2 linked regions of the Arabidopsis thaliana genome follow. The protein of the gene in region 1 interacts with the protein of each later gene in a pairwise test. Each region holds a gene or a part of one and is shown in the gene's direction. Other genes may lie near its edges. The genes, in order: AT5G60980 and CSP3.

What was found.
Region 2: the proteins of AT5G60980 (region 1) and CSP3 interact in a two-hybrid assay, tested with the Arabidopsis thaliana proteins (one study listed by BioGRID).

What each region holds. Positions count from the first base shown.
Region 1 is NC_003076.8:24,541,253-24,546,992, forward strand, and holds AT5G60980 (Nuclear transport factor 2 (NTF2) family protein with RNA binding (RRM-RBD-RNP motifs) domain-containing protein), read left to right. Parts: upstream 1-1,883; 5' UTR 1,884-2,227; exon of another isoform or gene 2,228-2,735; coding exon 2,736-2,915; intron 2,916-3,005; coding exon 3,006-3,303; intron 3,304-3,403; coding exon 3,404-3,624; intron 3,625-3,724; coding exon 3,725-3,893; intron 3,894-3,978; coding exon 3,979-4,100; intron 4,101-4,176; coding exon 4,177-4,242; intron 4,243-4,352; coding exon 4,353-4,416; intron 4,417-4,512; coding exon 4,513-4,775; 3' UTR 4,776-5,100; downstream 5,101-5,740. Other genes in the region: AT5G60990 (DEA(D/H)-box RNA helicase family protein), read right to left, coding at 5,349-5,492, 5,593-5,681. UniProt on the Arabidopsis thaliana protein: Involved in RNA-directed DNA methylation (RdDM).
Region 2 is NC_003071.7:7,762,879-7,767,068, reverse strand, and holds CSP3 (cold shock domain protein 3), read left to right. Parts: upstream 1-1,792; 5' UTR 1,793-1,887; coding exon 1,888-2,793; 3' UTR 2,794-3,541; downstream 3,542-4,190. Other genes in the region: AT2G17860 (Pathogenesis-related thaumatin superfamily protein), read left to right, coding at 4,051-4,190.

The sequences.
Region 1 (5,740 bases):
CGAGCTTGGACCTAGAAAAGTAAATCAATCCCATGACTCAAAAACTGTGTATACTCCATGTATTGAACTTACAAATGCTGTGAAACATTTATGCAGTATAAATGTATAATGGTTGTGACTGGCTTTTTAGTATCAGAAAACATTTATAGAAAACATGTGAGTTCATAATTTAAAAAACATTGAGCTAGCTAGTGTGTGAAGAAGAACTCAGAGAGAAGGAGATGAACAAAACAGCTAGTCAGAGTCAGCTATCTCCAAATTAATCATGATTTATATTCACAAGTTTTTCTATTTTTCTAATTTTACATCAATACCTTAATTCTATATATGTGTAAAAATATTCAGCAAAGTAATTAAAGGGACAATATGATTTTTAGGGTTTTATGGATCAATAAAATAAGAAAATTTGTCTTGATTGACCTGAAATAAGAATTCCTCAACCCATTGGATAAACTTTAAAAAGTCAAGATTTCTCAAATAGATCCAATTAGTTTTACTGACTTATTGAACATTATTAATGTACTGATTAAGAAGTAGTTCCCGCACTAAAGTATAGGCTATATGCAATACTAAGACTGATAAATTGGTAGACAAAAAAGGTAAACAAAAAATGCAACAAATTGTCACCTTAACACAATTTTGTACTAAGCTTTTACTTTTACGACTCTCCGTCACACGCGTTCTCATTCTCTTGAAGTTGGACCTCTTCTACGGGTTTTCTAGTTAAGCCATCTCTTCTTCTTCAACATCAGAACTACATTTTCCGGATTCAAAGTGTTTATTTCAATCGGCGGCGTTGAATATACGAGATGGTACGTTGTCTCCGGATGTAAGAGAGCCTTTTTTAAACGAGTTAAGAGGAATGAATATAATCAAATCAAACTGAAGGATTAATAATTGGTTAAATTATGAGCTATTCCGGTTTGGTTAAGTCCCACCGTTATATTCATCTCCTCTGAATTAATCAAATAGTCAATTATTCTAATTACTGTTGATTGTCTCATTAACTTGGAATAGAGGAGGTTTGGACTCTATTTCAGTTTTAAAAAACTGCTAATTAAACCAGATTAAAAAACGAAACTACTAATTAAATACAGTAAAATTTCGAAGACGTTTCAATACACAATTAATACCATAGCTCAATTTCTTCCCCTATAAAAACAGCCAAGGATCTTACTATTATTCATCATTCAAAGACAAACTCGAGAAAAATAAACTTTGAAACTTTTTTTTTTGTGTTTTCATCATGGCTATCAAAAACTTGATTTTTATTATAGCGGTTATGTGCGTTTTTGTCTCCGTAAATGCTCAACTACCACAATTTCCTTTTCCATTTTCATTCTAACCGATTTCTGGTATGCCAGGATTACCTGATATTACAAAATGTTTGTCATCCGTGATGGATATTCCGGGATGCATTGCAGAGATTTCTCAATCTATTTTCACAAGAAAATTTGGTAACTTAGGTCCGGCTTGTTGCAAAGCATTTTTGGATGTCGAATCCAATTGCATGCCAAAAATTCCATTCATTCCGTTATTTCCGCCGATGCTAAAAGAACAATGTTCAAGAATTGCCGGTGCTACTCCTCCTACACCAAAATAGAGTCTTAGTTTATTTTTAAAACATATAAAATATGAATTTTTTGTCTTTTCAACTTCTTTCTTAAATTTTATAATTCTCAGATTACTCAACATGTTTTACTTAAAAAAAAACGATGATACATTAATAACATTTGAGAAGTCGTATTTGTGTTTAATTTTTAGTCGTTCTTTATTTCTAATGAATAATACCTTCAAACATCGAGTAGATAATTAATTTAATATTGCAATATTTCAGAATTTGTTGTTTTCATAAATCTTTTAGATACGTCGTATAGTAACACAAAATCTGTCAACGGTTTATAACTTTTTATATACGACCCAAAACCATTCTCAAGATCAACACAAGTAAATCCTATTTTTGTAAGTTTCTAATAAGGAAATGAACAAGAAAGACCCAATAATTCAAGAATGATGAAGCCCAAAGTATGAGTCTTCTTGCTTCTTGGGCCGAACCGAACTGAACTGAACTGAACTGAACTAAAGCTAAACTAAAACTAAAGTTGGTACGGTTCCTTCTCTTCTCTCTCTCTCTTTCTCCGTCTGTCGCTGTCTCTCTCGTCCTCTCCTCTGTTTCGTAGCTTCTGCAGCAGATCTCTCTTTGTCCTTCTCTCTCCCTCAGATCACTGTAAGTACACGACACTTCACTTCATTTCCTAATTCGATCTGTTTCTTTTACTCTTTCTCGATTTGCTTCCAATCTTGATCTCTTTTCTCTTTCTATATCGAGCTTGATCTGACTCATTCTTTATTATATACTTCTCTTCTCGATTCCTTTTTTGTGAAAAAAACATCTTTAAAATTTCATTTTTGTTAGTTGCTTCGTGTCTTGATTAGTGTTGTTCTTGTAATAAATGTTGTGATCTTATATTCATTCTAGGGTTTTGTGTGTGTGTGTATGAGCTTAATTTCATACAGAACAGTGAAATCTTAGACTTTCGATTAGATCGTTGACTTTTATCTGAATTATTGGAATTTAGGTTATTGAATCAGTCTTTAGGTTATTGATCAAAATGATTTACTTCAGAGAAGATTGTCTCAATAATTACTAACACAGTGGTTGATTATTGATAATGTTATTAATCCTGAGCTATGTAAATTTTGATTCTCACCGTATATATATATATTGAGTGTAGATGGCACAGCAGGAAGCTAGTCCTTCCCCTGGTGCTGAGGTTGTTGGTCGTGCCTTTGTGGAGCAATACTATCATATTCTTCACCAATCTCCCGGTTTAGTTCATCGGTTTTATCAAGATTCGAGCTTTTTAACCCGACCTGATGTTACCGGTGCTGTGACTACTGTCACAACTATGCAAGTGAGATTATCATTAAGTCTATTACTTTAACAAGATTGCTATGATGTTCTCTTTTGATTTATATTAACTTGGTTTCGCTATGGATTTCAGGCGATCAACGACAAGATTCTGTCGTTGAAATATGAAGACTACACGGCTGAGATAGAAACTGCTGATGCTCAGGAGTCTCATGAGAGAGGTGTTATTGTGCTGGTTACAGGACGCTTAACCGGGAACGATAATGTTAGGAAGAAGTTTAGTCAATCTTTTTTCTTGGCTCCACAAGACAAAGGATACTTTGTCTTAAACGACGTGTTTCGATTCCTTGAGGAGAAAGAGGTGACTGCACAAGCCCGCTCTGTCCCCATCAATGGAACCACTAGGGATGTTCAGGCTCCTATTGAACCAGGTAGGATGAAAGTTCCATGTTTTTTTTTTTTTGTTTCCTACCACACATAGCACTTATTTATTTCAAGTTAGAATATTAACATCGGCTTACTTCTTGTCAGAACGTGTTGTTGTTAGTCACGAGCCCGAGGTAGAACCCGAGCCAGTTGCTTCTATCGAGGAAGAAGATCTTGACAATGTGGCGGAAGTGTATGATCCTTCTGATAAAGATGAAGGAGTTGTTGTTGACGTTGAGCCTATTGAACCTCCCACTCAAATAAGTCATAATGAAATCTTATCAGTGCCTCAAGGAGATGCTCCTAAGCATTCTTATGCTTCAATCGTGAGTTGAAACCGCTCACTAACTTAATTCTTTTGTTGTTTCTCAAGATTGTTTTTCTGTTGTTAGTAAAACTTATGAAGTCATTTGTGTGCCTCAACAGCTCAAGCAGATGAAAAGCAGTCCAGCACCAACAACACACGTTGCTAGAAACAAGCCAAGACCAGCTCCAGTCAACCAGAAGCTGACCGCGCCTCCTGCTGAGCCTGCAGCAAGACCCGAGGCTTCAGCTCATGAGAATGTTCCGAATAGTAGCCATGTTGATGTGGAAGGTCTGTAAATTCTTTTCATTTTGCTGTTTGAATACGCGCATTTCCCTTGGTTATTGATTTTTGTTTTGTCTATTTGTTGTTACAGATGATGGTCATTCGATTTATGTTCGAAATTTGCCGTTTGACTCCACACCAACACAACTTGAAGAGGTGTTCAAGAACTTTGGTGCAATCAAGCATGAGGGGATTCAAGTCAGAAGCAACAAGGTTTGATATATAAATCTACAATCTCCTCCAAAAACCCTTTGCTTATTGGTCCCTTACACGTATTTGTGACTCGCAGCAGCAAGGTTTCTGTTTTGGTTTTGTGGAATTTGAAACATCTAGCGGAAAGCAAAGTGCCCTCGAGGTAAAACCATATATAGCCTTGAAAATTCTCCTAAGTCTTTTCGAGCTCAGGTGTCTGGTATATGTTTCGGTTGAATTAGAAAGTCTGACTCTTTGTGTTGGTACATGTAGGCCTCACCAGTTACAATTGGAGATCGTCAAGCTGTTGTAGAGGAGAAGAAAACAAATAGTCGAGGTAACAAACATGAGAGACCTCATCAAGAATCAAGAAAAAGATGGTTGATGAAGAGTTTTTGTGTATTTAAGATGTGGCTAATCTTTTTTTTTGCAGGAGGAGGCAACAATGGAGGTAGCAGGGGAAGGTACTTTTCCGGAAGAGGAAGTTTCCGAAATGAAAGCTTCAAAGGAGGACGCGGTGGTGGGGGAAGAGGAGGCTATGGAAGAGGAGGAGGTGAGTTTTCTGGTAGACCAAAGAGCTCAAACCCACGAAATGGAGGAGAAGGTTACCAAAGGGTTCCTCAAAACGGAGGAGGTGGAAGAGGAGGCCGCGGAGAAGGAGGTCGTGGTGGAGCTCGAGGTGGTGGTTCATCTTGACTTTGCTTTTAACGCTCCTCTACAAGAGAGTAGTTTTAATTTTTGTTTTGCGTCTTTCTTTTTGCCTACTACTTGAGTTGATGTGGTATTGGCTTTTTTGTCGGTCTAGTTTTTCAATATTCTTGCTTTTTTTCCTCTCTTTTTTGTTTTTCATCTTTCAATCTTTCTTTGGGGTAATGTACTCTTCATAAACAAACATTCAATTTCATAAGGAATCCATTATAGAGTTGTGTTCTTTACGCAGAGATGTTCTTACTCTTCGTTTTGAAGTTAAAGTGAGCAGAAGTGAACATGACCAGTTTATCTAATTCGTTGAATGCATTAGGGAACTCGAAAGCATAGAACTGTAAATTAGAGATAAAACAAAGAGCTGCAGGAGCCACCAAGAACAGACACCAGAGCTTTTAAACATCTTTCAACTTAAATTGTATAATCTGTCATTGAGAAACAAAGCAAAAAGAAAAGAACATACAAATTACGAGTACAAAATGGATTAAATTTCCCTAGTTCATATGGAAAACTTCAATTCAAAACTTTGGTGAGTTATCGGAAAACAGTAAAAACAGAGCTATTTTATCGTTTGAACTTCTTAGAAGACTTCTTGTCTTTGTTACCACCTCTTTCCTTGTTGCCTCTGTCCTTGTTACCTCCCAAGAACCTCTCACTTTCTTCATCATCTTCTCCCCTTCTCTTCCTACCTCCTGATTCTTTCATATTCTAAACAAAAATTGCCAGAAAACATATTTCAGTTCTCTATAAATCAAAGTTATACGCAAAAACGAATAAACCTAGAACTACAAATGCAGAGTAAAAATACCATTGCAGATAGCTTTTTCGCTTCTGCAACTCTCTCCAACAATGACAAGACTTCATCTTCCTCAGCGGGATATTCAGGTAGTTTCTTGCCTGAATGTCAACAAATAGTCATGTCTGTCTCCATGATAGAATCAAACAATAAAAATGTA
Region 2 (4,190 bases), on another chromosome or scaffold:
TCGTGCCACGTAGGATCTGTCGCGTTTTTAGCCTTTGTATCCATAAGTAGTAAGTAGTCTGTATTTAGTATTTACCATCTAATAAAGAAAATAAAAATTTATGTATAACTTAAAGTGTTCCAACTTAGCAATCAATAGTATGTAGCCTTGGAGAAACAGATTTTTTTTGTTACAGGTAAGATTTACATACTGAAATCATATAGCATTCTTAGAAAATTTTAGTTGTATTATGTTGTAGTCACCTAATTTAAAAAGCTGGGAGTGTTTTTTTTCTAGTCGCACAATCAGCCGACATCGACAATAAAAGAAAAGAAGATCTATGTCAAATAGTAACAAAAATACATAAATACATATATATGTAAAGATTTTAATACTGTTGCGGTGCGGTTTTGGGTGTGGTCTATGTTACCATTCATGGTCTTAGTCTATCGAAAGTTCGATAACGTTGTTTGCCTTGGTGGCAGTGAATTTTTTCCTGTCACGCGACTGTGAAAAGAGTAATTTTTAGAGACGTTACAATCGCATATCGTGAATTCCGATGTATGTGATATGTGTATGTGGAGGGTTACTGAGAGTTTTTTCTATGGGCGTTATAAACATTTTTAGTTTGAACGTTGTGCAATCAACTAGGTATGCATGCATGGGTTAATTTTATGATTCTAATTTTTTTGGGTAAAAGTTATATAAATAACGGTATTTCAAAGAGTTAACATTGGGTCAAATTTCTTGCTCAGAATTTCAGAGTTATACTAACATGACGTTTATGATGATAATAATTATAGTCAATTTAAATTGCCTTCACCAGGGCCACCAAAATAGCTAAGCAAATACGACAGACAAGGTTCTTTTCTTCTCGTCATCATAATCCATGTGTCACTCTTGTTTCAACATGCCATGTTCTGGAACATTTGCATCTCACGAATCTTTCATAATATTTACAAAAAAAAACTCATATTCTTTTCACATATATATAACTATTTTAAATGTGAACAAAAAAAAAGTAATTATAAATTCACTATTGTCATTAAAAGAAAAATAAATAAAAAAAGGAACTCTTGTCATTTTCTTAAGTATAGCATTGTCATGACAAAAGCTATGCTGTCCATAAACAATGGGAAGCAGAAGATTGTTGATGTTCGACACCATACATTATCAAAATATATAATATATATATATATATAATAGACGATAGATATCCAATAATTAGTTTAAGTAATTGGGATGTTCTTTTTTTCTTGCTTCTAGAAGAAAATATGATCGAATCATTTTTTTCTTCACAATTGAACTTCGGATAATATCATCCATGTATTGGTTCATTGAATTAAAAAAGTGAGCTGGGATATTGAAAATTTGGATGCAAAATAAGTTGCATAAAAATAGATATAATATCAAAATATAATATATTGTTTAGATAAAACAACCAAAAGTGTGAAACACTTTCTCTTCTAGTAGAAGTATAACATAATAATCTAAATCATGTCATATTTACTTTAGATTTACTATGAATATCCCTTTCTTTTTGCAAAAAGTGATAATTATAGACTGCATTTTCATCCAATTCCCAGAGTTTGGGGATGGTTAAGAGATGATAAAACATCTCAAGCATTTTTTTTAAAGTTAGTGTGAAATCAAACCTTATCAATTTTGCTTAGTTCTTTTGAAACTCTTACATAAATAGGCCCATTTCATTATGTGAACCATGGGCCTGATCCAAAATGCACACGTGGTAACTGCCGCCGATAGAGAAGGAGCTGACGTGGCGAATTTAAGGTCAATTTGGGGTTAATAGATCTAGCAAGTAGCAATTTAGGGTTTTCATTTTACCCATTTCCTCTCTTTGTACGAACAAAGTGCTTCGAGTTTTTGTTAACCTTTTTCTCTGATCTAATGGCGATGGAAGATCAATCGGCGGCGAGATCTATCGGAAAAGTTAGTTGGTTTAGCGATGGAAAAGGCTACGGTTTCATTACTCCCGATGATGGCGGCGAAGAGCTTTTTGTTCATCAATCCTCAATTGTCTCCGATGGATTCCGTAGCTTGACTCTTGGTGAATCGGTTGAATACGAAATCGCGCTTGGAAGCGACGGAAAGACTAAGGCCATTGAAGTTACTGCTCCCGGCGGCGGTTCACTTAATAAGAAGGAAAACAGCTCCCGTGGATCCGGAGGTAATTGTTTTAATTGCGGTGAGGTTGGTCATATGGCTAAGGATTGTGACGGTGGAAGTGGTGGGAAAAGCTTTGGAGGTGGTGGTGGTCGTAGATCTGGCGGCGAAGGTGAATGTTACATGTGTGGTGATGTGGGACACTTCGCTAGGGATTGTAGGCAAAGCGGTGGTGGAAACAGCGGCGGAGGAGGAGGAGGTGGTCGTCCGTGTTACAGTTGCGGTGAGGTTGGTCATTTGGCAAAGGATTGTCGTGGTGGTTCTGGTGGAAACAGATACGGAGGAGGTGGTGGTCGTGGATCTGGCGGTGATGGATGCTACATGTGTGGTGGTGTGGGACATTTCGCTAGGGATTGTAGGCAAAACGGCGGTGGAAACGTTGGAGGTGGTGGAAGCACTTGTTATACCTGTGGCGGAGTTGGCCACATTGCGAAAGTTTGCACCAGCAAGATACCTTCTGGTGGTGGTGGTGGTGGTCGTGCTTGTTACGAATGTGGAGGAACTGGCCATTTGGCTCGTGACTGTGATCGGAGAGGAAGTGGAAGCAGCGGAGGTGGCGGTGGCAGTAACAAGTGCTTCATCTGCGGCAAGGAAGGTCACTTTGCGAGGGAATGTACTTCGGTTGCTTAACAAAAAGATGCAAAGAAGAAGAGTAATGTTCATAAACCTCTTTTGTTTTCTATTAAAATCTACCTAATGCTCCTTTTTGGTGACTATAATGTGATTGCTAAAGTCGTTTAGGATGTTTAAGAATGGTTGTTTTGGGAGTTTTTGATCTCTCTATATTACTCTTTTGACTGGTTTATGCAACCTGTTCACTGCTTTTGTTGATGCCATAAGTTTGAGATCTTGAATGATATGTGTGCTTGCTTATTTACAGTTTCTTGTCTTTCCTTGCAATGAGTGTGATTGTATGACTTGAAAATTCAATCTGTTATGGTCACTTCTGTTATATACCAAGATTTGAGACTTTTTTTTACTAACTTGTAAATACAAAGAGATGAGTCACAAGTCTTTCTTGGTTCCTCTTTGTTGGAGAGCTTAAAGATTTTCCTGTAACTGGTTTACTTATACTCTGCATTGCTGTTTTTCTTGTTCTTGATGAAACAGAGATATTAGCTTAAGAATAATCTTTTGATATTTTAGATTACTTAGATCTTGTTTTAGGAGAATCTCCTGAACAGAGGAGAGACATGGTGTGCGTGATCTTGTAGTGCCTATGCCTGTTCGTCAGTTCGTGGTTTCTTTTTCTCTACTTACCGTGATGTTTTAAGAAGATGATGAAGTTAATCCCGTTAGTTTTTTTTAACCTAATTACACTTGTGATTAGCTGAATCTTTCGGATATAAACATTTGGATCCCACGTGTTCTGTTATTGGAAGTGACTTGATCTTTCTTAACATATACAAAGACAAGCTTCTAATGTCCAACACCTCCTTTATTTCCGTTAATACAAAATCCCACCAATTCCAGTACAATTAACTTACTACACAACACCATACATGTCTCTTTCCTATCAAAGTCTTTAAACTAAATAACTTTTTCCTTAACAAACAAAAGAGAGCTTTTTCCTCCTCTAACCTTTATCTAAATTTCTAGTTTTGAATTTAGGAAGAGATCCTCAACAAATAGTTATAAAAAAAAAATGTATAATTTTCGAAAAGGATAACAAGTATACTAGCTTGATTCGTAATTTCCATTTCACAAGTATTAATGAGAATATTGAAATAAAGGAAATGATGAGTGAACATGTATCGGATTCTGTAATGGCAAAACTCATATAGGGAAAATTGATATTATGAAACTTTCCATAACACAAATCCCCGATTCTCTTATATAAACACGATCCCTAACTTCTCCTGAATCATACAACATCAAACGGTAACAATGGATTTGGCTAAAGTCTCTTGCTTTCTCTTAGCGATTATGTTTTTCATCAATGGTGGTTCCTCCACCACGTTCACCATCGTTAACCAGTGTAACTACACCGTCTGGCCGGGACTTCTCTCCGGCGCCGGCACCGCTCC